4 linked regions of the Saccharomyces cerevisiae S288C genome follow. The gene in region 1 interacts genetically with each later gene. Each region holds a gene or a part of one and is shown in the gene's direction. Other genes may lie near its edges.

Region 1 (8,257 bases):
TTATGTACTATTTTTGGTTGGAAAGAATTAAGAAAATGCGCAGCGTTGCATGGATTGGGTTTCGAAGCTAGTGGGCTCATTTGGGATAAACCAAACGGATATTCTAATGGATTGAAGGAATTTGTTTATGATTTGCTTAATAAAGAATGTACCATAGGTACGTTCCCTGAGTACAGTGTTGCTTTTGAAACATTCGGATTTCTACAACAAGAATTACATGACAGGATGTCCATTGAACCTCAATTACCTGACCCCAAGACAAATATGGATGCTGTTGATGCCTATGAGTTGAAAAAGTATCAAGAAGAAATTTGGTCCGATCATTATTGGTGCTTCCAGGTTTTGGAACAATGCTTCGAAATGGATCCTCAAAAGCGTAGTTCAGCAGAAGATTTACTGAAAACCCCGTTTTTCAATGAATTGAATGAAAACACATATTTACTGGATGGCGAGAGTACTGACGAAGATGACGTTGTCAGCTCAAGCGAGGCAGATTTGCTCGATAAGGATGTTCTCCTAATATCTGAATAGCAAAGTGATAAATTACTGCTAGTCTGAAATAATTTCCTTTTCTTTGGAAAGAGAATTTTAAAAGTACTTACATATTTGCATAGTGAAAGATTTAAATAAAAATTTCTTAAAGTGAAACGGTTTAGCATAATTGGTGGCATGCGCTTAAGATAGTGCCAAATACCAAAAGGCACAGGTGCAGACGATACTTAAACAATAGTGCTACTACGCCACTTCGTGAAAGCTAATATCTCTTTACCTTGCATTTGGGCATGTTGCAAACAGGAGGATCAAAATACAAATGGAATCAAGAATGCTCTTCTGGTATGATACTTTTTGTTTTTCTTTTGAGCCCATGCGTACATTTGAGCTGTTGAAACAGTCAAAAATAAAACGGCAAATAAATTGAACTTGAACACAAAAGTAAACCAAATCCAAGACCAAACTTCAAAAGTATAGTTGGGAGCAACAAAAAGATTGAAAATACCTTGATTCAATGGGACACGGATCTTAGCGTTACCATGCTTCTTTTGATAGTCACCCCATAGGCGCAATTTAATGTGGCAATAAAAGTTCCATAGTTCTGAAAGCACGAAAAGACCAATTAATGTACTCAAGTCATCCAATTTCAAATATGAATAGTATTTGAATAACTTAGCATTCCCAAAGGGGAAGCCGTAGCCAAAGTAACCGAATGAAATGAGACCGCTTAGAACCCAGTAATGGAAACAATTTTTGAACAGGTTGAAAATTGGCATAGTAGCTAAAGAGAATTGGTGAACAAATAAGGTTTCAAATAATCTCTTTCCATAATGTCCTAAAATTAAAAAATATGCAACCCTGTTTAAAAATGGATTATAGTCGGAGCTAGCACTGTGCCATCTATCAACAACTGTGGGAATGGTAGATAGATAATAAAAAAGGGAGTGAACCAAGACTGGACCCAAATACTCACAAAAGAAGACTAATCTCCATGAAATTTGGGGACCCAAATCTTTGATGAAGAATTCCATTGAGTCATCAGCCTCTTCTTGAAAAAACGATTCTGAAATAACCGGAACTTGTTTAGATTCCTTTTTGTAGGTTAATCTTATCCTGTACTTGCTGATATTGTGGTTATTAGCAGAGATTTTTTTCAAAACATCATCTAAAGTAGGCTTTTTGGATAAGTCAATTTCAGTGTCCCTTAACCCTTTAGAGCGGCTTTTTATGGTGATAGGCATTTTCAAATTAAATTCAAAATATGTATCTCTCTCAAATAGCTCAATTGGTTTCTAGATAGCTAAATAGAATATAATCTTACTGTCCTCCGTTCTGTAAAATTCACGCTCTTAGTCCCTTTTCATAATTCCTTAACTTTTTGCGTACAAAATGATATGTTTATTATATTTTTCTTTTTTTTTTTTCAAATTTTTTCTTTTTCTTGAAAAATTTTTCAAATTGGAAAGCTCATCTCTCTTGAATGTATAATACTTTCTTCCTCTAACTTTCAAAAAGTTTTACATAGCCAAGAAGTTTTCCTTACATCGGTATACTACTGTTATATAAGTTATTCTTCGAGAAACAATTAGATATCATTCATCGGATAAATCTAAGTTGCCCATTGCTTTCAATAACTCCGATCAAATTAACTCAAATCAACTAAAACAGTAATGTCATTCAGACCAGGTAGCAGAGGTGGTTCCCGTGGAGGTTCCAGAGGTGGCTTCGGTGGTAGAGGCGGTTCCCGTGGTGGTGCTCGCGGTGGTTCCAGAGGTGGCTTCGGTGGTAGAGGCGGTTCTCGTGGTGGTGCCCGTGGTGGTTCCAGAGGCGGCTTCGGTGGTAGAGGCGGTTCTCGTGGTGGTGCCCGTGGTGGCTCCAGAGGTGGTAGAGGTGGCGCTGCTGGTGGTGCCCGTGGTGGTGCCAAGGTCGTTATTGAACCACATAGACATGCCGGTGTTTACATTGCTAGAGGTAAAGAAGATTTGCTAGTTACCAAGAACATGGCCCCAGGTGAATCAGTTTATGGTGAAAAGAGAATCTCCGTTGAAGAACCATCTAAGGAAGATGGTGTCCCACCAACCAAGGTCGAATACCGTGTATGGAACCCATTCAGATCTAAGTTGGCTGCCGGTATTATGGGTGGTCTAGATGAATTATTTATTGCCCCAGGCAAGAAAGTTTTATATTTAGGTGCTGCTTCCGGTACTTCTGTTTCTCACGTTTCAGATGTTGTTGGTCCAGAAGGTGTTGTCTACGCCGTAGAATTTTCTCACAGACCAGGCAGAGAATTGATTTCTATGGCAAAGAAGAGACCTAATATCATCCCAATCATTGAAGATGCTAGACACCCACAAAAATACAGAATGTTGATTGGTATGGTTGACTGTGTCTTCGCAGATGTTGCCCAGCCTGATCAAGCTCGTATTATTGCATTGAACTCTCATATGTTCTTGAAGGACCAAGGTGGTGTTGTTATCTCCATTAAGGCTAACTGTATTGATTCTACTGTAGACGCGGAAACCGTTTTTGCTAGAGAAGTTCAAAAGTTACGTGAGGAACGTATTAAGCCATTAGAACAATTGACTTTAGAGCCATATGAAAGAGACCATTGTATCGTCGTTGGTAGATACATGAGAAGCGGTTTGAAGAAATAAGTTGAATAAAGGAAATTAGTCAAAAGTTTCTGGTAGCTTGCTCAATTATTAGCAGAATAATTGTTTCGTTTATATATATTTCCCCCATTCAGTTTCACTTCCTATTTGAAGTTTTTGTAACCCTCGACTTTGTAAAATAGATATTACTAAATTCTTTTAGAGAACAAAAGTATTGTACGTATTCGCCATATAAAAAAAAAAGAGTATATGTGGTGACTTTTTGGTCATTAATTGTTAAGAGCAAGCAAGTAGAAATCATAATCATATTTCGAGTTTTTTAAAGGTAGGAACAATATCGATAAGCTGTTCTCCAGTCTCGACACTGTTTGATGACCATATATCATTAATTCTTGTAACACTACATCATAGATTTCTCTTTATCCTTGGATTGAATCTGAAAAAATTTTGATAGAGTCTTTTGTTCAAAGTGTCACTTCTTCATCTGTCACTCTTACGTATTTTTTTTTTTTTGGCTTTGCCCATAAGAAACATCACTGTATACGCAAGGTCGCAATATTTACTATTTAACATGGATGAGAGGCAGTGTGCGACCAAAACGAAGACTTAATCATTAAGAAGAGCGTGTGTTGCGTTGATTGGTAATAACCAAGTCGAAATTTGCACTAGGAGCTTCAGTCTAGGAGTGAACTTTTGAAAAGATTTCAGTCCAAAAATTATTATTTGGAACGCGGAGCTCCTCTAATAGTCGAAATAATAGAATGCATAGCGATACTAACGGTCGAACAAAGAGCAATAATAGCCCATCAGACAATAATCCAAATGAGACAGTTATATTAATAGATAGTGATAAGGAAGAAGACGCTTCTATTCGCGAGGCTAACCTTCCTGTGAGGTTGTACCCAGACAGACGGGTAGGGAGACGACGTGATGCTTTAAATAGGTTTGTGAGGTCAGATTCAAGGAGCAGGAATTCTCAACGGACTCACATAACAGCAAGCTCTGAGCGCCCTGATTTTCAAGCTAATAACGACGATATCACTATAATACGAGAAGTTGGACGGTTTTTTGGAGACGATGGACCTATTGATCCTTCTGCACATTACGTCGATCTTGATCAGGAGCCAGGTTCTGAAACGTTAGAAACTCCAAGAACAATACAAGTAGATAACACAAACGGGTACTTGAATGATAATGGTAATAACAATGAAAGTGATGATGGCCTGACAATAGTTGAAGAGAGAACAACACGACCCAGAGTGACACTGAACCTGCCAGGCGGGGAGAGGCTTGAGGTAACTGCGACGACAACAGACATACCGATAAGAAGGTCATTTGAATTCCAAGAAGATCTAGGCGCATCACGCAGGCAGTTACTGAGAAGGAGTGCTACAAGAGCCCGTAATTTATTTGTGGACCGGTCTGATGAAAACGATGAAGATTGGACAGATGATACCCATAATTTACCAGAAGCTATTCAAAGGGCTCGTAGGGAGAGCCGTATGCGAATGAGCAGACGGATTGCAGAAAGACAACGTAGGGTACAACAGCAAAGGGTGTCCAGTGACGAAAATATAAGTACATCTATTAGGTTACAATCAATCAGGGAACGAATACAATCATATACGCCTGATATTCGTAGTGCTTTTCATCGTGCAGAGTCACTGCATGAATTCAGGTCTATTTTACAAAATGTTGCTCCAATTACTTTGCAAGAATGTGAAGAAGAACTAATGGCACTCTTCACTGAGTTCAGAAATCAACTGCTGCAGAATTGGGCCATTGATAGGGTCAGAAATACTCAGGAAGAGGCCTTGAGACTTCACCGAGAAGCATTGGAAAGACAAGAAAGAACGGCAGGAAGAGTTTTCCATCGTGGCACATTACGTGAATCAATCACAAACTATCTTAATTTCAATGGAGAGGATGGGTTCTTAAGTCGTTTGTGGAGTGGCCCAGCATTGAGCGATGCTGACGAGGAACGACACACTCAAAATATCATTGATATGATCCAAGAGAGAGAAGAACGAGAGCGGGATGTGGTCATGAAGAATCTAATGAACAAAACCAGAGCCCAACAGGAAGAATTCGAAGCTAGGGCAGCCAGCCTACCCGAAGGTTATAGCGCGTCATTTGATACTACGCCAAAAATGAAATTAGACATTACGAAAAATGGTAAAGAAGAAACCATCATTGTGACAGATGACGATTTAGCAAAAACACTCGAGGATATTCCTGTTTGTTGCTTGTGTGGCGCAGAATTGGGGGTCGGAATACCGGATGATTTTACTGGAATCAGTCAAAAGGATCGTGGTGTTTCATTTGAAGGGTTAGTGTCAAAATACAAATTCCACTGCCCCTACCAAACCCTAGCCAGACCATCAATGCTTGATAGAGATTTATCAAAACGAACGTTTATTGCATCGTGTGGTCATGCATTTTGTGGTAGGTGTTTCGCCAGGATTGACAATGCAAAAAAAAAATCTAAGATGCCCAAAAAGAAACTAGCTCAACTAAAGGGTTCGGCTCATCCGGATAATTATGGCCCCAAATTATGTCCCGCAGATTCTTGTAAGAAGCTTATTCGTTCAAGAGGCAGGTTGAAGGAGGTTTACTTCTAGCACGCGGTTTAATTTTTATAAGGGCATTTTCGAACTTATCATCATTATATATTATCTACTTGCATGAACACTTTAATCACGCTTATTTAATTAAGATTAAAAGATCAGAGGTGCAATTGTGCTTTGTTTTATATAGTGGATTTGTGTGAAAGGGTTTGCTCCCACAAGATATGGAGATACTCTAAAACAGCATATCCAAAGTACAGCATAAACATAAACCCGCTAGACAGCCCGCTAGACAGTCTTCATTTCCAGAACTGGCCGGTTGTTGTTGGACATAAATGGGCTGCTGTGGGTGTTGTTGGTAATATTGGGGCTGCTGTTGCTGATAGTATTGAGGTTGTTGCTGATACTGCTGCTGCTGCTGTTGAGGTGGATAATAGTTCTGTTGGCTTTGCGATGGAGCGTAACCTCTAGACGCCGTTTCATATCCTGGTGGTGGAGCGCTAGGACGAGAATACTGAATCGAAAGTGATGTAATGAAAATACAAGGGCTCGTTAGTACGATGTGATCTTCTAAAGGCAAAACTTGTAAAATTAACGTACGCTTTGTTTGGAGGCAGAGTTTCCGTAATAATCTTGAGCTGACATGAGATGTGTATTTGCTTGGTTTATGGGCTATTGTATGGGTTTGTCTTAATATCCTTTTCGGTTGCGTAAATACTTTTTATATTTCAATATTTCACGATGCCGCTGATAGCATCGTTTAATACGAAAACTTCGAGCCATTTACCAAGAAATATTCTGGACTAGGTGGAAGGAAGCTTCGAGAACTCACCGTGGCTATTCAAGGCTGATGGACATATGTACTGGGCTGAGCTTAAGATCTCCCATTACTGCTCCGTGGGGTTTTATGTGAAATGTGGCGTTTCAGCAGTTTTTAGTTGGCTAATTTCCTAAAAGTAGTAATTAGTTTCTTATGATGGATTTAATGGCGTAGTTCATCCGCGTTTAATTTAACTAGAGGATAATCTACTTGCAGCATGAATGAAAATAGTAAGCCAGTAAGGATGCACTGACAGACTCAGCTACCGATTAGTGTTGTTGACTTTTCCGCAAGATCCTTTTCTCCCTCTTTGGACCTAGTCATCCCTCCACACAAGATTCGCTCTTAAGTAGTGGCGCAGGCTGTTCGCTTTTAAGCATAGTGCTTAATGTCGAAGGCTTTATAGATCCCAAATACTACGCCTTGAGAAATTGAATGCACTAGCAGTTAGTTAACTTTCTGGAACGCGCATGACGCGTCCCGGGGCGCCTGAGGCGGAGCGTTCGCGAAATCGGGAAAACATTATACTGGGAAAGATCACTATCTATTCTCTAAATGAACTTTTAAGCAAATTATCGTAAGATAGAAAAGACGAAACCTTAGCAACCTAGCGGTTTAATATAGAAACAATTTTATTATGATACCTTCCAATAAGAGAAATGCTAGAATTTTAAGCATTACAACGCTATTATTGTTGTTAGTGTTTTTCGTAGCGCAAAATGCGAACTTCTTGACGGTAGAGATAAAAGAGGAAACTTCTAAAGCATTTAGTACTAATATGGACAATATGGCTGGAGGATCTTCCAGGGAATATGCTGCTATGCCGACTTCTACCACGAATAAGGGGAGCTCTGAAGTAGACGAAGAAATTAATGAAATAAAACAGAAGGTGGGACTCCAACAGCCCATAGCATCGGTTGATGATAGTTTGTCGGCCATTAAAAACGATAAAGGGTCGCGAATAACCAAAGCTTTTAATGTTCAAAAAGAATACTCCCTCATACTAGACTTGTCTCCGATTATAATATTTAGTAAAAGCACCTGTTCATATAGCAAGGGCATGAAGGAACTGCTTGAAAATGAGTATCAGTTTATCCCAAACTACTATATTATAGAACTTGACAAACATGGACATGGGGAAGAGCTGCAAGAATATATCAAGTTGGTGACCGGTAGAGGAACTGTTCCAAACCTTTTGGTTAATGGAGTATCAAGAGGAGGTAATGAAGAAATCAAGAAACTGCACACTCAAGGGAAACTTTTAGAATCATTACAAGTCTGGAGTGATGGTAAATTCTCGGTTGAGCAACGTGAAAAACCTTCCAATAATTGAAATTGTTACAAAAAGGAAAGAAGAAAAAATTAAGAATAAATATATAAATAAAGAGGTCGTGAATGATTAGGTCGTGAAATGCAGTGTAGTTGGAAAGGCGTAGTTTTCCTAGCACAAGGCGTTTCGGAGTTGGAATAAAGAAGCTATCACCAACGAAGAAGCTTTTTTGTCCAAGACATCTCTTAAAAGGGTTGTGAAAACATAAAACGCTTAATGCCTTCATATATACATATATAAGTTTATGGTTTCGATGTTTACAATAACTTCTATCCTTTGCTGGTCCATGCACTTCACCTTGGTAAGTTATGCAACGCACTTTTGTCTACGCCTGCATTCGATATAAAGGGTAAGCTGCCGAGATAACTTTTGTATCTTCCGTGTCTGCAGATAAAAAAATAATGCATTCTTCAAAAACTTTGTACAATATCGGGAG
Region 2 (9,879 bases), on another chromosome or scaffold:
GCCAGAGGACTTTTGAATGATGGATCTTGTCATAAACACTATTAAACCCATCAAGACAACACCAGATAGCGAAAAGATTAAAACCATGATTTTGGCGCCAACCGACTTGGGCAGGATGTCACCTAGTCCCACGGTTAATAATGATACCGTGCAGAAATATAATGCATTTCCGTAAGTGATGTGCAATAAACCGCTAAACATACCCGCACCCCAAATCAACCATAAAGACAATAGTACAGTGTATGCCATGATACTTCTTTCATTGGGCAAAAGGTTGAACGTTGGAGGATATTTTCCTAATTTATATCCAATAAAATGTATTGTTAAAATAATGGTGCATACCAAATATAGACCAGAACTGATACAGGCAAACCAAAATCCGATAGTCTTACTGTAGATGCTGGGCATGTCATTCAAGGAGCATACAATCACGTCCACCAAAAGCATCCCTCCAGCTATTGTCCATCCTGTTATATTTATTAACTGAGATTTAAGATACGTCAACTTCTTACTGAAATGTAGCATTAGTATAATATTTGACGTAAAACCCAGTACCAAAGAGATGATATTAACGGCAAAAATACCAGGAGGATCAAAAACTGTCTTTACTTGATTCATCAAAACATCGGTGTCATTGCTTCGTGGATTTGTCACCACGGAGTTGTTCTTTAAGGATCTCCATTTTTCAACTACACAGGCTATCGAGATAGTGTTAGCTACGGGACCCAAGCAGGCAGTAATCACAGGGAAATAGCATGAAACCACAAACCAAAAGACGAACAGTGTTGAAGAAGGCTCTGCATTAATAATACTAACTCTTTCGTCCCGGAACCGCAATGCATCCTTTAGTTCCTCTGCAAGAACACCCTTAGCTTGCTTCGGTGTGTTGTTTGAATGAGAATCAACAGCCTGAGCTGAGCTCTCTTGCTCCACTGTCGCCATATTGCCATATCCCAGCGTTTGTTTGGCAAAGCTGTTCATGAACCTTGTCATATATATAGAAATCGGTAAAATAAATACAAGAAATATGCTTTGTTATACTGCTAGAAAGGAGTGAAGACATCTGCTCACGATCTACGAGATGCGGCTATTTTTGATGGAAAAAGATACATAGGGTCAGGCATTTTTGCCATATTGAATAACCAAGATGGTACTGAGTACTCAGGTAATGTATATTACATTGAGTACTTCACTTGTATACACAACCACTGCTTCGTATTGTATATCAAGTATCTAACTGTTGATAAACTACAACTTTCTCTTCAACCATAATGATAGCGCCGCTTAAAACATGCTAGGGTAACGAGACGCGAATGCGAAAAACTCCCAAAAAAACCAAAACAAACAAAAGTGACAACAATTAGAACGATGCTGAAGAAGAATAGGAGCGAGTTTAGAGTTACCTCCAGCTATCCTGATACTACTGCTTAGGCTACCTTCGCAGAGTCTCGATAAATTTGCAGTCGGCAAGATAAGAATATTTCTCTACAGCTTTTAGACAGCTTCCTGTCCCTCTAGTTTCTTTTGCCATCCATAATTGTACTCTGCACTTTGAGTATCATTCCAATTTGATCTTTCTTCTACCGGTACTTAGGGATAGCAAATGTCGTCGAACAATGATCTTTGGTTGCATTTAGTATCCCAGTTAAATACTCAACAGAGAGCAGCGGCCCTCTTTGATTACACTAGAGGGCTGCAGGTCATTGCCGGTCCCGGCACAGGGAAGACTAAGGTTTTAACTTCAAGAGTAGCGTATCTTATTCTGCACCACCATATTCATCCCCGCGATATTATAGTGACTACTTTCACTAACAAAGCTGCTAACGAAATGAAAGAGCGTTTGCAAGAAATGTTACGCGGGGCAGGCGTGAATATTTCGGAGCTCTTAATTGGTACTTTTCATAGTATTTGCCTGAAAATACTTTATAGATTTGGCCACTTGGTGGATCTACAGAAAGACTGGAGAATTATTGATGAGAAGGAAATAGATGTCATTTTAGATGATATGATCGAAAAAGTTCCCGACCAAATAAGGGATTATGCTTCCTCAATCACAAGGAAAGTAAATCTTTGTATGCCGAGTAAAAATGGAGATGAATGGACTATTCATCCGAAGCTGATCAAGAAACAGATATCAAAGCTAAAATCAAACGCAATATTACCTGAGGAATACATCTTAGATTCGAATCATGACGCCGCGCTTGGTTACTTTTACCAAATATACCAATCAGAGCTAAGCAAGAAAAATACGTTAGATTTTGATGACTTATTAATGTACACCTTTCGTTTGCTGACTAGAGTGCGTGTTTTATCCAACATAAAGCATGTTTTAGTTGACGAATTTCAAGATACTAACGGCATTCAATTGGACTTGATGTTTCTTTTTGCTAAGGGAAATCATCATCTTTCGAGGGGGATGACCATCGTAGGTGATCCTGATCAAAGCATATATGCTTTCAGAAACGCCTTAGCGCACAACTTTCTAGAAATGGGCAGAAAATGTCCCATCGAGTACTCAACTATCATACTTGTTGAAAATTATCGTTCATCACAAAAAATTCTAAATACAAGCGAAATTTTAATAACGCAACAAAACAAAGGTCGGCAGAATAGGGCTCCACTCCGTGCCCAATTTGACCTGGATTTTCCACCAGTTTACATGAATTTCCCCGCTTACTTTTTGGAAGCACCTTCTTTAGTTCGGGAACTACTATATTTGAAGGCATTGCCAAACCTATTCACATTTAATGACTTTGCTATCCTAGTAAGACAACGAAGACAAATTAAAAGGATCGAAAGTGCATTAATAGAACATCGGATACCCTATAAAATTATTAGGGGCCACAGTTTCTGGGATTCCAAGGAAACAAGAGCGATGTTAAATTTATTAAAATTGATATTTTCTCCGAATGACAAACATGCAATTCTTGCTTCACTTTTATATCCAGCAAGGGGCCTTGGTCCTGCTACCGGTGAGAAGATTAAGAACGCATTGGACACGTTAGCTACCGATGTGTCATGTTTCCAAATATTGAAAGACATAAGTAGTAAAAAAATAATGCTAGACATACCGACGAAAGGCCGTTCTGTGATTGCTGACTTCATTTCAATGATAGAAAATTGTCAATTGTTGCTCCAGAGCACTTTACTAGGGGGTCTTTCAGATTTATTTGATAAGCTATATGAATTATCAGGTCTGAAATACGAATACTTGTACAAGGATGGTAAGAAAAAAAATGATCAGCTTGAAAAATCCGAACCTAATTTATTAAACGCAAGACATAAGAATATTGAACTTTTGAAAAACTATTTCCTGGCTCTTCTTTCCAAGTCAGAATCTTCAGATAAAGAAAAAAATGAAGCCATTAAAGCAGCAACAGATGAAGCCGAACCAATAGAGAACAAGGTCATCACTCCAAAAGAATACCTCCGTAATTTCTTCAATTCACTTTCCCTTCATTCTGATGCAGCTGAGGAGGAAGAGTCGGAATCCAATAAAGATGCAAAAATAAAACGTGAGAAGAATGGGTTTGTCACGATATCTACAATTCACGGTGCCAAAGGTCTTGAGTGGCCGGTAGTTTTTATTCCTGGATGCGAAGAAGGTATAATTCCTTGTGTGTTCAACGATGATAAGAAAGACGAATCAGAGGAGGACGAAGAAGAAGATCAAGAAAATAGTAAGAAAGATGCAAGCCCAAAAAAGACTAGAGTTTTATCCGTGGAAGATTCTATAGATGAGGAAAGAAGAATGTTTTTTGTTGCACAGACTCGTGCAAAATACCTGTTGTACCTATCAAATACTGTAACTGTGGAAGATGTCGATAGACCAAGAATTGCAAGCCGATTTTTGACTACTGACTTGATAAAAGCCATGTCCGATAGCCAAAAATTATTTGAAAGTACGAATAGTATCAAAAAACTATACCGAATTTTGAACAAAAAGCCGCCTGCTGAAGATGATAAACTATTCTCCCTTGACCAATTGCGCAAAGACTATAACCAATTCATTGAAAATAGGAGAGAAAGGATGATTTGGCAAGGGATACAAATGAATGATGTCTATGGAATACAGTTGTCTAGAAATAAATTATTGGGTTCTGTTAGTGATTTCACGTCAGCTGCGGACCAGTTACGACTCGAAACGCAAAACTCTATATTCCCACAGAAGAAACTTATTGAAAAATCACGCCCATCCAAAATCAATGGCAATTACGCTCCTAAAAGTAGAGTTAAAAGTCCAGAAAAAAGGTACGCTCCAGAAACTACATCATTCCATTCTCCTACAAAGAAAAAGGTGTATGCACCTCAATACGTTTCAACAACTAATGTACCTAGTAGGCAGGAGTTTCATTCTTCTACTGGGAAAAATATTCCTTTTCTGAGAAGAGAAGATAGGTCCATCACAGACATATCACCACGATCATCAACGAGGTCGTTAAAAGGAGCATCTCCAAATAAGACGAGCCACATGTCAGATGATTTAATGAGACCATCACCTACGAGGAAGGACAAAGTTACTCGTAATATTCATTTCGCAACTGCAGGAACTTTCAGAATAGAAACCCAGTCAAATGTTGATGAACTGCATCCTCCGGAATACTCCAATAAATCAGGGCAGTCGCTTACGTCGAGTGAATTTTCTGGGTTTTCTAGCGCGTGCAGTAATTCTGATCAGCCAACGAACTTAATAGAAGATATAAACAACGAATTAGATCTATCCGATGAGGAGTTATTAAATGACATATCAATAGAAAGGAGGAGAGAGCTTTTGGGCTCGAAAAAGACGAAAAAAATAAAACCAAAAACTCGAAATAGAAAGTCTAAGAGAGGTGACAAGGTTAAGGTGGAGGAAGTGATAGATTTGAAGAGTGAATTTGAGGAAGATGACAGCAGAAATACAACAGCTGCTGAGTTATTACATAATCCGGATGACACTACAGTTGACAATCGTCCAATAATCTCCAATGCTAAGTTTTTGGCTGACGCAGCAATGAAAAAGACACAGAAATTTTCCAAAAAGGTGAAGAATGAACCTGCATCAAGTCAAATGGATATATTTTCTCAGCTGTCACGTGCGAAAAAAAAGTCAAAATTAAACAACGGTGAAATCATAGTCATCGATTAGTAGCACTTTCATGCCTGACTACGTCAACTATTGGAGGCGGTTTATAATTTTTATTTAAAGCACATAGGAGTTAATTTTATTTTACTGGTAGGGTTTGTATACGAACTACATGGAAATGTGGATGGTGTGTTATTATAGCTTAATGAATATTCTTTTTCTATACAAGAAAACCGATATGACAGCTATGAATGAGCAGTATGCCAACAAAACCAGGAATGATTTTAAGGGTGAAGAATCTATCGTGACCATAGACATATTGACTAAACCAGTAGAGACATTTGCCAACAAAAATAAAAACAACCCATTGGAGTTGATTGATTCCAAGCATTCGGCAACTTTATAATATTCCGAAGAATTACCGAAAATTTTGTCAGTCAAGCAGTACCCAGTCAAAAATAGTAAATTATAAGTAATGACCCACAAAGTATATGGTAAGTTAGCAAACCTTCTTGAAACACTATAAGGATGGTATTGAAAAACCAACTGGCTGATAACAAGAAAAATTGTACTCCATATACAGAGGCCACTTAATGGGGTTACTGAAGTCCAATAGTCCCAAGTCGAAGACTTCTTTGATGCTGCAACTACGTCTTGCGTAGAAGGCTTATAAAGATTGTTTAAAGTTGGTTTATTTCCCAACAAGTAAAATCCCGTGTTTTGGCCCCAAAGAAAAATCGAGCAATAACCTAGAAATGAGAAGATGCCTTCTCTATTAGCACTGAAGAAACAATTTCTATCAGCCAAAATTAAAAAGTTTAAAGTGCGATCGTCCTTTAAAAGTAGCCATTCATAAATGCATGAAATGAATATTGCAATTGAGCAGCGTGGAACCATTCTTGTGACGGGATCAATAAAGGTCAATACAAGTGGCAACAATGATAGGGTGATAAAAAAATTCCAATGAACCCCATATTCTGTGACATGTTCTTGATATTCCAAATTTTTTACAAAAAACAACCTCAGCAATCCTAGGAACAATAGAGTTCCTCCTGATTTTAAGGCATTAAATGCATTTTTTAAGAAGCTGGGTTTACTCTTCAAGCTTAGGTTTTTCAACAGTGCCCTAGAAGAAACAATACCGTTACTGAAAACGAATGATCCTACACCAAGATCCATCAGGGATGTCCCCCAAGTTTCCACCTTGGCAAACCTCCTTGGGAAAATTGGAAAATCTACAGCCAAGATGGCAATAGCAGTCAGAATAAGCATCCCACCACGATACGCAGTAATATACGGCTTTTTTTCTAGTTGGAACCGCTGTGTAATCATTTTTTTTTTATTGTATATTGGATTAGAAGGTTTACTCGAGCTAGTAAATTTTCCATATATGAATGCGAGCAAACAAGGTAACAGTATTAGCGTGTTTAGAAGGTATGGTTCACTAGCATAAATAGTAATAGATAGAAGCAAAGCAACCCAGTTCAATGCAAAATCAATTATGTATTGCACGCTGGAAATGCCAGGAGGCATAAGGTTGGAATTTTTCAATAAGTTCCATGATATGTAAGTTACCAAAGCAATTGATGTCACTGCGTTAATTTCTGTTATAGAACCGCCATTGAGCCCTGTCACAAAGTCCTCTTTTCTCTGTTTTAAAGTCGACATATTCTTCTGATGTACTGTTGCCATTTATTTAGATATTTACGTGTCTTCTTATTGCGATCCTCTTTTTCTCATGCTGTTTTTTCACGCGAGCATGTCATGGAAAGTATTATCATACAAAACGGTAATACATATAGATGAGTAGATTTGAATAATGCTGTAGATGGCGTATGTAAATGAATATCTTATAAAATTACGGACTACATTTCAAGAATCTAATTCCTTTGTCTGATTTCTTGTCTGTCGTCTCATAGGTTTTTCTAAAGAGGCAGTACGTTTCTTATCTTGAATGGAGCCATAGGTAACTTGAGTATGTGAAACTTCCTCAGTTCTTGGGATCTCTTCTGGATTAGAAATTGCAGTCGGCTGCTCTGTAGGCACATTTTCTGACATTATTGTGCCCCAACTCGTGGTTCGTTTAATTTGTTTAGGAACGAAATTTTTTGGCAGTGACTCCAACTTGATCCTTTTCGTATCCGGCATTTGTCTCTCTGAAGAAACATCCATGATACTCGATGAGACACTACGCTTTTTTCTTCCAGAATCAGTTTCTCTAATTTTCTGCAATAATTCGTTTTTGGTATCTTTCATAGAGTGCTCCGATAATGAGGAATTGTTTCTTTTCAAAAGAATAGTTTTGTCGATTTTTGGATCATTGTTTTGGTACTTTTTTTCTGAACTAATGCTGGTATAGTATGGTTTTTTTATCTTACATTTAAAATCGTCCTTGTGTCCTCTTGGGCAGATAATACACCACTTGATATTGTTTAAAAAGATTTCATTATTTTCTCCAGATGCAGCGGACAATAATTTAAAAATAAATGCTGGAGTAACTACCGGTATGGAGTGGAATTTCTTGATATATTCAATTTTCCTTTTCATCGAATTTCTCAAGATTGAATTATTTTGAAAATCTTTTCTGTTATTATCACCAGGATCATCATTATTGTTATTAATGCAAAACTGAGTAAAAAGATCGCTAAATTCATTCGACCATAACGGATGGGTTTTCGGGATACTGGGTAAAGCTGCTAAGTTGATTAGCAGAATGTCAGTGGATTTATTGAGGTATTCTACATAATTGATGCCCATTGGTTTTAGAAGATTTAATACTTTAGTCAGATGTAACAGCTCTACGCCAGAGAATCCAGTGATAGTAACATTCAGAAAAGGGGAAGAAGAAAATTCATGATGCAATAACTTTGAAGAAGACGAAACTTGAAACTCTATTGTGCTGAGGAAGGGTTTTGACCATAAATCTATTGGGTGTAGTAATTTTTGATAATACAAGCAGCGTTCAATGAAAAATTCTGTAACTATACCATCATTATCATCTATAATCTCAGGTAAATCATTGAAGGAGTCAAGAGCTTTATTACTTGGAATGATGTAATAAGAATGATCGTAAATGCCGCTCAAGTAAGACGTCTCAATTTTACCCCCATTTTGAACAACAATTTTGGTTAGTATTGAACGGTGATTGCCAGGAAAAATATGATGAATGATAAACGCACAATTTTTGAAAATCAAAGTACTATTATCACTTAAATCTTCTTGTTTGTTATTTATCGATAATGGTGACTGCCCTAGTACTGAAAAATTTGTCTTACTATGCTGCTGTAGAGACATTGCCTTGTCCCATATTTTTTCACCCTTTGGTTTAAATTTATTCAAGAGGGATGATGTTTTCGGGAGCGAAGGAGTCAGGGTACTGGAGGATTGCTGCCGCTGCAGAGAGGATTGGGCATCGATATTGGTTGGAAAGGTGGTGTTTATTTTATCCCAGCAATCGCAAGAGTTTGATCCGATTGAATCATAGGGCAGGTCTTTAATATTTGGTAAAAGATAATAGGGATCGTACGGTAACAGTGCGCTTCTTTTTTGGCAATCGAGAATCCATTTGAAATGTACAATAGGTATATTTTGTTCAATAGCAGCGTTAACTCTTGCTCCTAGTAAAGTATCCGTAACAAAAATGGATATCTGCCCATTCTGACCTTGATCATCGTCATCATTGTGTGAAGAGGTATCTTTGATTACAAAGTTTTGATAGTTATAACTAGAACACCCTAACTTTTTAATACTCCTAACCAATGAATCGATGGAAGTTATGTTAGTGTCGGTTATTCTGCCAATGAAGATATTGAAGTTATGCAAATATTTAAACGAAAATCGCCGGTAAAGTATCTTCAGCATCTCATAGGTGGATCCTGTCATTGTTGCCGTATTAGAGTCCGGCAATATATTTTCTCCAGACAGCCAGAGCTGATAAATGTCATCAATGGCTTGAATGTCAATAAATATGATATCGAATCTATGCTTCACCGCAAATTTAAATTTGTTTGTATTGGTGGTGGACCCAACAACAAGGACATTAACTTGTCTGGTCAAATCTTTAGAAAATATACCTCCTAACTTAATAATTTTCTTTGATATTTTTTTAGCTAAGATTTCATTATTTATTGCAGTCGGACAAAATGTTATTCCTTGAAAGGGCTTCATAGTAATATTAATGCTACTGATAAAATACCTGCCATACTAGAAATAGAAGACTTATATATCACGTAAAATTTGTCTCTTCTTATTCATCATGTACATAAAACAGTACAAACATTACCAATAGTACTATATAGCTTTACCAGGCAATACGCGAATAGTCCATGCAGTTTTTCTTCTCTTATACTGATGAGGGTAAGTTTTGCATTTGATCACCGCCGTATGCGAAGCGGAAAGAGCAAATGCGTTGAAAGAAACCTGGCGACAATAGGAACCACGAGTTCAAGCTAATAATGATACCTCAATGATTATGCCCAGATTACGTTATGTGACTAAAGTAGAAAGGTGAATAAATATAAGTAACGAAACAAGGTTACATGGACTCTTCAATTAAAGAAGGAAAAGGAAGGATTCTTTTGCAGGCAGAAAACATTGAAGTTATATCGCAACAATAACGATGTAGTTATTATGACCTCATAATATGAGAACTTTTTCCTCAAGTATTTTTAAGTTATTCTGTGTGTCATGACTCTCACTTCGTCATATTTTATGTTAGTGCACAAAATGCGAGGTGTGGGTGCAATCAAGACTCCGATCCATTTTCGCCGTTCGACCGGTGTTTTGGCGGCTAAATTTAAGGGCGTGATCTCAGA
Region 3 (3,655 bases), on another chromosome or scaffold:
GCAGTGAAATTTCAATTATTGTGACCTAATATTAGAAGGGTTTTTAGTTTATCTTCTTTAGGTTTCTTCTTTATTTAATAGGGCGTAAGTTTTTTCGGTCATATAGTATAATAGGTCTTTTGCCCTTTTGTTAGGTCTGTTTTTTTTTTTGAAAATTTTTCATCGCCGAAGAAAAAAATGACAAAAAGTTGAATGAAAAGGATTATTTTAAACAAGAACTAAGGTAAAGTCTCCTTCTGGGAGCAACCCTTACAAGCAACCACACACCCACATACTCAATTGATAATGTCTGCTATCCCAGAAAACGCCAACGTTACCGTCTTAAACAAGAACGAAAAGAAAGCCAGAGAATTGATTGGCAAATTGGGTTTGAAGCAAATCCCAGGTATCATCAGAGTCACTTTCAGGAAGAAGGACAACCAAATCTATGCTATTGAAAAGCCAGAAGTCTTCAGATCTGCCGGTGGTAACTACGTTGTCTTCGGTGAAGCTAAGGTTGACAACTTTACCCAAAAGCTAGCCGCTGCTCAACAACAAGCTCAAGCTAGCGGTATTATGCCATCTAACGAAGACGTCGCTACCAAGTCCCCAGAAGACATCCAAGCTGACATGCAAGCCGCCGCAGAAGGCAGTGTCAACGCCGCAGCAGAAGAAGATGACGAAGAAGGTGAAGTTGATGCCGGTGACTTGAATAAGGATGATATCGAGTTAGTCGTTCAACAAACTAACGTTTCCAAAAACCAAGCCATCAAAGCCCTGAAAGCTCACAATGGTGACTTAGTCAACGCTATCATGTCCTTGTCTAAATAATGATATAAAAATATATTATATAGGGGTACGTAGTTATTCTAACGCAAAATCATTTTGTTTTTTCCTTCTCCGACTGCGAAGGCTGTGCCGGTTGTTTTGCTTCAATGGCGTCTTCTCTTTCCTTTACTTCGTCTATTTTGTGGTTACAGTGAGGACAGATAAAGATGATTGGCTTACTGGCCAATCTGTAGCAATTGGATTTCCAATGACACTGTGGACATATGATTTTTTTGAAGGGAGAGAGCGAACTTGTTGAGTCCAATTCATTACCGCCTGCCAGTACGCTGATGATTTTGTCGAACCATGCATCGCTGTCTTCCTTCTTTAGGCCCTTTACATGGCTTTCCTTCTTAAATTTTTCTAGCTCTGTCTTTAGATTGTTTAATTCTTGGTATTTAGCATTTAATTCATCATCTAGAAGTACCATGGCATCGTCGTTTTGATCTTCACCGGAAGAAAACCGTTGGATGATTGAGCTTGTAGCATTATAGTGGGTCTCTTCCTTTAACTTTTCCAGTTTCTTTTGATGAATTGCACGGAGTTTTGCCAACTTGCGTAACCTATTGTTGTTATAAAATGCATAGAGTTTGGTTAATGCCCATTTGAACAAGATTAGCGAGCCTATGCATAGTAGCGCAGTCACCACAAGGTATGGTCGATAACCATGGTACTCCCAATATGTGTAGCTCAGGGCCAATACCGTTAACGCAATACCATAAAAGGTCAGATTTGATTGCCATTGACTCAAGATGGATTGGCTTTTCTTTAACGCGACATCTAATTGATGGATCTGTGAAGTTATTTGTGATAAATCTGCGGTATACTTCGTCACAAAGTCCTTATCATTGCGAGAGCCTCGGACCCATTTACCTAATGCACTAAACATATTTATGTTATTCTTTTATATCCGATCTCCTCTTTGTATGATTTTTGTTTTCTTAAAATATACATGTCAACGTTAGCATCTTGAATTTCATTTTTCCTTTAATCTTTTTTAGTAAGCTAACCACTAATATAGCCAAAGGAGTGATAGAAAAAAGAATTATCACTATCATTCAGCCCAATAAACAGCTGAAAAGAATGCCTAGTGTAGATATAGATGCTAGTCAATGGCAGAAGTTGACACAGTCAAGAGAAAAGCAGACCACGGTGATAACACCGCTTGGGATGATGATGCTGGAGATTCAAGGTGAACTAGAGTTGCCTAAGGACTTTGCGTCGCTGGCGAGGAGAGATTCTCCAAATGAGGGAAGGTTCAGTGAACAGGACGGCGAAACTTTAATACGATTTGGGTCGTTACAGATTGACGGAGAGAGGGCCACATTGTTTGTCGGCAAGAAACAGCGTTTACTGGGGAAGGTGACAAAGCTAGACGTACCGATGGGTATAATGCATTTCAATTCGAAAGATAATAAGGTCGAATTAGTTGATGTAATGAAATATAAGGTTATCTTTAAGGATAGGCCTCTACCTATTATGTAAGTACTTAGTTATTGTTCGGAGTTGTTTGTTTATGTTATTTGGCGCAGACTTCACGCTCTGTGTAAAGTGTATATATAATAAAACCCAAGAAGAACGGACAAGATGATAGATAAAACCATATTGAACTTGTACTCTTCTTCTTGTTGGGTTGGAACCAATTCATCATCGTATCTGGATCTTTCTTTAACTTTCAAGAAAATTGGAGTTTCATTTGGCTTCACGTTAGGAGGTAATTTATCCTGGTACATTTCTTCCATAAACTGTTCGATCTTGGAGATTTGAATGTTCAATTTTAAGAAATTTGGATCTTGCACAGCCAATTTAGATTTGATATCACGTAAGTAATAGTCAAAAATCTCGACACAGCCACGCAAAGTCCTTGATTTCAAAATTAAATAGCAGGTAGTACCCTTACGAATCTTTACATTGCCATGTAGCACTTCACGGTTGTTGAATACCAAAGCCAAGGTTGCAATGGCCATAACTTGGGGAATGGCACAAAATTGGAAAGTGGATTGCTCGTGGATACCGGCCAAATAAGTCAACACATCGATAACATGACTCAATGCGTTTAAGACGAGGTGGTTTATACAGTCCAACCCCAGTTGTTCGTTTTCAGGTTTCATGAAGTCCTTCAACTGAGGAGCGTATTGTGACCAGATTTCCTTGGGCCAGAAGGATCTACCATCGACCAAATCTTCATTGTAATCTCTGATGATGTTGGTTTTTTGTAGGAAAAGACCCATGCTTTCATACAATTGCTCATTAGAATACAAAGATTCGTTGGCAAACTTGGCAATGACAATCAAACGGGTCAAACCATCACCGACCAAACCAGCTACGTAGTGACAGTACACGTCGTAGTCGTGGACGGTTTGCAACCCATTCAAGTTGTAATTTTCATCTAAGATGTAGTCGGCCATACCATTACCCATTTTCTCGGTGATCTCCTTGATGACTTCTTGATATTCTGGTTTCAATTTGTGGAATTCAATAAGAATCGATTCGAAATCTGTCAAAACGGCTCTGTCCTTCACATCGGGGGCATTTCCGTCGAAACTCCATTTAGTTAACAACAATTTCTCGTGGAAGTGACGCAACAAGTCAATTTTCAAATCGTGTTCGATGGACATATCGTCTTCGATGGTATCCAAAGCCCTTAAAATCAAATAAAAGAGAGTAACACAGTTTCTCAATTCTGGATGCAGCTCTCTGATCACAGCAGCAAACGATCTGGAGGTCAAGTTCAACAGTTCGAAACAGTGCAAGAGATATGGAGACGTGGACTGATCATAGATGGAGAATAGCGGTGTTCTGCAAAACTTCAGCTTCAAAGCTGCCTTCATCTCGACCGGATGCAATG
Region 4 (4,772 bases), on another chromosome or scaffold:
CTATAATACTTATTTCATTCAGAGAGAACGGCCTGTTGTTTTTAATAAGAATCCACTTTAGATTGATTTTGAACCTTTCTTGAAAATTCTTTGCATCTGCTAGAAGCGATTGCTTGAACTCTCGCTCATTATTTTTTCTCAGCAAAATAGTCTCAATATTGGAAGCCTTGGTAGTGAACTTGTCATTGCTTGGAAATGTTCGGATGTGCCTTTGGGCGATCAAACATCTAACAGGTAACGAACTCTTGTAAGGTGTTATAAAAGGTCTGACATTTCCATGATTAGTTGCGACGTAAGTTCGAATACAGTGTCTTACGAGATGACTTGTAATTGGAAGCAGTGGCCGCTTTATTGTAGGGACCCGTAAACGTGTGATTAGCATGAATTTTATAAACCTCCCACCACCTGATAATCTGTATGTGCCTTTTGTTTTAATACTTCTTGACGCAAATCTACTGTCAACTTTAATATGCATCCCTCCATAGTAAGTCAAGGATCAGCTAGAACCAATAACGAGAAGTAAAAAAAAGTGACAAAAAGTCAAATGTGTCTTTATACGAATTTTTTAACCTACATATGAAGAGTAAGGTCATAAATAATAAATGTAGGGCTAAATGCAGTTAAGATTACTACAGTATTAGGTCTGTTTTTTATCACCTCTTACGGAAAGTGCGAGCGGGAAAAAATTTTTCTTCTTTCCTTATTATCATACCGATGCTCATCACAATGAAAGATACATATTGCATCAATAATAGGCAGTTTTCAATATTCTTCTGTTTAGTTAAGAAAAAGACTTGAAGTGAAAATAAACTACATTATGGTTGCGCCTACTGCTTTGAAAAAGGCTACTGTGACACCTGTAAGTGGACAAGATGGGGGCAGTAGTAGAATTATAGGAATAAATAATACCGAAAGCATCGATGAGGACGATGATGACGACGTTCTGTTAGATGATTCCGACAATAACACAGCAAAAGAAGAGGTAGAGGGCGAAGAAGGTAGCCGGAAAACGCACGAATCTAAGACCGTAGTGGTTGATGACCAGGGGAAACCTCGCTTCACTTCAGCTAGCAAAACACAGGGTAACAAAATAAAATTTGAATCGAGAAAGATCATGGTTCCACCACACAGAATGACACCCTTGAGGAACAGTTGGACAAAAATTTATCCTCCTTTGGTCGAGCACTTGAAGCTGCAAGTCAGAATGAATTTAAAGACCAAATCCGTAGAACTAAGAACGAATCCTAAATTTACCACAGACCCTGGTGCGTTGCAAAAAGGGGCCGATTTTATCAAAGCCTTTACCTTAGGGTTTGATCTTGACGATTCTATCGCACTATTGAGGCTAGATGATTTATATATTGAGACTTTTGAAGTCAAAGATGTCAAGACTCTAACAGGTGACCATTTGTCGAGAGCCATCGGTCGTATTGCCGGTAAAGACGGTAAAACGAAATTTGCGATTGAAAACGCTACAAGAACAAGAATTGTCTTAGCTGACTCTAAAATCCACATTTTGGGCGGGTTCACCCACATCAGAATGGCAAGAGAATCTGTGGTTAGTTTAATTTTGGGTTCCCCTCCAGGTAAAGTTTATGGGAACTTACGTACCGTTGCATCTAGATTAAAAGAACGCTACTAAACATAATTTGTGGGCTTTCATCATCTGTATAATATTTATATGTCGTTTTATGGCGAAATAGAGTGAATAAATAGGTTTTTTTTTCCTTCTTTTTTTTAGGACGCCAAACGCGTAACGTTAGCGGTGATAAATTAGTTTAGTATTATTATCCGGCTATTTGCTTCATGTATTTAACGTCTTCACTGACCACCTTCGCTGCACTAAATCGTATGGTACCATAGCATTAAACTTTTTGAATCAGAGAAGGTTTTCCAATGAAAAGGCACGTGTCTTTATCTGATATATTGACAGGAAATAAGAGAAAAGTGAGAAGACAAGATGCTCTACAGATTACCATCGATGACGAAAATGATACTGAATCAGGCACTTTTGACGCCAGAACAGCCAAACATGACGATTCTTCAGTAATATTTTTAAACCACTCTGTTGTGAAGCCAATTGAAGCTGTTTCTACTAATCACAAATCTGCAAAGGAGTTTTTGATGACGAAACGCACAAAAGAAAAATGCGATGACGACGATGATGATCTTATTGTAATCAGTGATAAGAGTCCCAAAAGTGAGACTAATTGTAGCAAAATTGCACTTTCGCAGGAGCATGAAGATGATATTTCTATAATTTCCACATCGAGAATCAAATCATCGCTTCTTAATGAAAGAGCATCAAAGATTAAAAACTTCCTTAAACATGAGACAACCGACACGTTCAAAAGATTAAATAGCATCTCTAAACTAAATGAAATAGAGCCACCATTACCATTACATCAATCGATTTTCCCAGTAGGTGACAAAGAGCTGTCAGATCGGAGTGTTGATATCCCGCTTCCTTTCCGCACAATACCGCCATTAAATCATAATTTTCTTCCTAGTGACTATGAATCGTTGAAAGACAAGAATTCAGCATCTTGTATTCCTGTTCGCTATCAAGCACCGGTATTACTTGGCACAAATATTAAAAGAAATACAACTCTCACATGGCCGCAGCTATTCAAGCCTGTCACTTTAAAACAAGTATTAATTGAACCCAAATTGAAACTTCGAATCAAAAATTGGATTGAAACATCCTTTCATACGCTAGAAAAGCCTACCTTGAGGAACCGTCTATTGAACAGAATAAATCCCAATAAACAACAGGGATCTGGTGATGAGCTTGCCAACTTCATTGTACCTGATCTCGAAGAAGACGAAAACTTGCGTCCAGATTTCTACAGAAATGGCGAAGCAAATAGCAGCTTGAGCGAATTTGTTCCACTAATGATATTACACGGAAATTCAATAGGCAAGAAAACGCTGATACAGACAATCATGAGAGAGATTGCTGGCGACGATAATTCTTACCAGATATATGAAGTTAATTCAAACATGAACAGGAGCAAAAAAGATTTGCTTGATATCCTACTAGATTTTACCACCACACACTATGTCAAAGATTCCTCAAAAAGGAAAAGTGACTACGGGCTTGTTTTATTTAATGATGTTGATGTTTTATTTAAAGAACATGATAGGGGATATTGGGCAATGATCAGCAAGCTTTGTGAATTTTCACGAAGGCCCCTCGTATTGACTTGTAAGGATTTGTCACTAGTTCCTAGTGAACTTATTGCCTTGGCAAGTGAACAAAACTCTTTGTTTCATACTAAGAAAATTAGTACATCCACAGTCTATGCGTTTCTAACAAAATATTTAAAGTCCCTTGAAATCGAAGTTTGTGACGACTGGCTTCGCGATGTTGTAAAACAAAATAATGCGGATATTAGGAAGTGCTTGATGCACTTGCAGTTTTGGTGCGTTGATACTGAGGCTGATTTGATTTCATCCAAGAACAGACTACCGGTCCTAACATCAACTCTTGGTTCAAGCGTTAAAGATATATCGCAATTAACTGATCTACTCTCCATAAATGATGTTATTGGTCAAGCAACGCTCAATCGTTCCATGGTTAGACAAGAAATAGATTCTACCACAATGACCCCAGAAAAAGTTAATACTTTCCAGGATCAAAATCTGGATGATGAAATGAAACTAAAATTTGATTACGTGATAGATTATAAATTGCATTTAAATGACCCCAATAGACAACCGTTATTACCGTTTGAATTGAATATTTACCAACACATCCAAGAACAATTGGAAGCTCGGTATTCCTATGTTAGAGAAGCAAACCATAGGCTTGATAACGAATACCTTGTTAACAGGTTCAAAAAAATGACAGAATCTACATTAAATTTTTTGGCGTCAAGAATACCGAAGTATGACCATCTTCAGTCGGCAAGAAGGACGAGAAATTCGAAGAAAATTTCTGATATTTTGAACCAATTCAAAGGAATTTATAATGATGAAACTCTGAACGAAAATGCCGAGATTGATCTGCTGAGCGCCACAACTCAACAAATTAAAGCGGAGATCAATCCCTTCGTTTTTGAAATCGCTAAAAGTGACGCCAATGTCAAGAATGAAAACAAACAAATATTTGAGTTGCATAGTGAAAATGTATCAGAAAGACGATACAAAGATTTGGTCTATCAGTTGTCACAAGAGGGTGTCTTGAAAAACGTATGGTTCAACGCTGATCCGAGCATAGTCGTGAGAAAATGGGAGCATTTGCACTCAGGCTTTTCAAAGAACAAATAACACTGATATGAAATTGCGTGCATCGTTACAGGAACACGTATGTATAATAAATATAGCATGGTAGTGCGGGGAAATATACTACTACTTTATATATCAATAAATTCTGCAACCTTGCATTAAGCAAATGCAGCACAATCCTAAATTCCTTCTAATAGTTGCCTTTATTTCCTCATAGTGCATATTTCAAAACAGCGAAAAATGCAAAATATGCGAAAACTTGAAAAAAAATGGCTGATGGGAATTACAAATAAAGCGTGAATGATAAGGCGTTTATAAAAGATTTAGCTTCTTAAGTACTGTGGTTTTGATAAAAGCTAGAAATTTGTAGATCACAATTGGTCACAAAGAACAATAAAAAGCTGAATATCACTGCTATGAGCGAGGAGTGTATTGAAAATCCTGAACGTATTAAAATTGGTACTGATTTAATCAACATCCGAAATAAAATGAACTTAAAAGAACTAATCCATCCAAACGAGGATGAAAACTCTACCCTACTC

What was found.
Region 2: mutations in SLX5 (region 1) and SRS2 impair growth when combined (synthetic growth defect), as found in Saccharomyces cerevisiae (6 studies listed by BioGRID, with this or other methods).
Region 3: mutations in SLX5 (region 1) and CTF8 together harm fitness more than expected from each alone (negative genetic interaction), as found in Saccharomyces cerevisiae (5 studies listed by BioGRID, with this or other methods).
Region 4: mutations in SLX5 (region 1) and ELG1 together harm fitness more than expected from each alone (negative genetic interaction), as found in Saccharomyces cerevisiae (8 studies listed by BioGRID, with this or other methods).

Annotation. Positions count from the first base shown.
Region 1 is NC_001136.10:425,202-433,458, forward strand, and holds SLX5 (SUMO-targeted ubiquitin ligase complex subunit SLX5), read left to right. Parts: upstream 1-3,865; coding exon 3,866-5,725; downstream 5,726-8,257. Other genes in the region: serine/threonine protein kinase CDC7, read left to right, coding at 1-531; trans-2-enoyl-CoA reductase (NADPH) TSC13, read right to left, coding at 801-1,733; rRNA methyltransferase NOP1, read left to right, coding at 2,163-3,146; YDL012C (uncharacterized protein), read right to left, coding at 5,907-6,185, 6,272-6,316; glutathione-disulfide reductase GRX6, read left to right, coding at 7,129-7,824; YDL009C (uncharacterized protein), read right to left, coding at 7,724-8,047. UniProt on the Saccharomyces cerevisiae protein: Component of the SUMO-targeted ubiquitin ligase (STUbL) complex SLX5/SLX8 that mediates ubiquitination and subsequent desumoylation of sumoylated proteins and proteins containing SUMO-like domains for their degradation.
Region 2 is NC_001142.9:255,820-265,698, forward strand, and holds SRS2 (DNA helicase SRS2), read left to right. Parts: upstream 1-1,603; coding exon 1,604-5,128; downstream 5,129-9,879. Other genes in the region: TOK1 (Tok1p), read right to left, coding at 1-993; GWT1 (glucosaminyl-phosphotidylinositol O-acyltransferase), read right to left, coding at 5,261-6,733; protein kinase activating protein DPB11, read right to left, coding at 6,938-9,232. UniProt on the Saccharomyces cerevisiae protein: ATP-dependent DNA helicase involved in DNA repair at least for UV-induced lesions. The polarity of the helicase activity was determined to be 3' to 5'.
Region 3 is NC_001140.6:484,867-488,521, reverse strand, and holds CTF8 (Ctf8p), read left to right. Parts: upstream 1-1,890; coding exon 1,891-2,292; downstream 2,293-3,655. Other genes in the region: EGD2 (Egd2p), read left to right, coding at 286-810; LNP1 (Lnp1p), read right to left, coding at 860-1,696; ERG9 (bifunctional farnesyl-diphosphate farnesyltransferase/squalene synthase), read right to left, coding at 2,343-3,655. UniProt on the Saccharomyces cerevisiae protein: Essential for the fidelity of chromosome transmission. Required for the DNA replication block checkpoint.
Region 4 is NC_001147.6:602,217-606,988, reverse strand, and holds ELG1 (Elg1p), read left to right. Parts: upstream 1-1,896; coding exon 1,897-4,272; downstream 4,273-4,772. Other genes in the region: MDM32 (Mdm32p), read right to left, coding at 1-382; PNO1 (Pno1p), read left to right, coding at 818-1,642; THI80 (thiamine diphosphokinase), read left to right, coding at 4,647-4,772.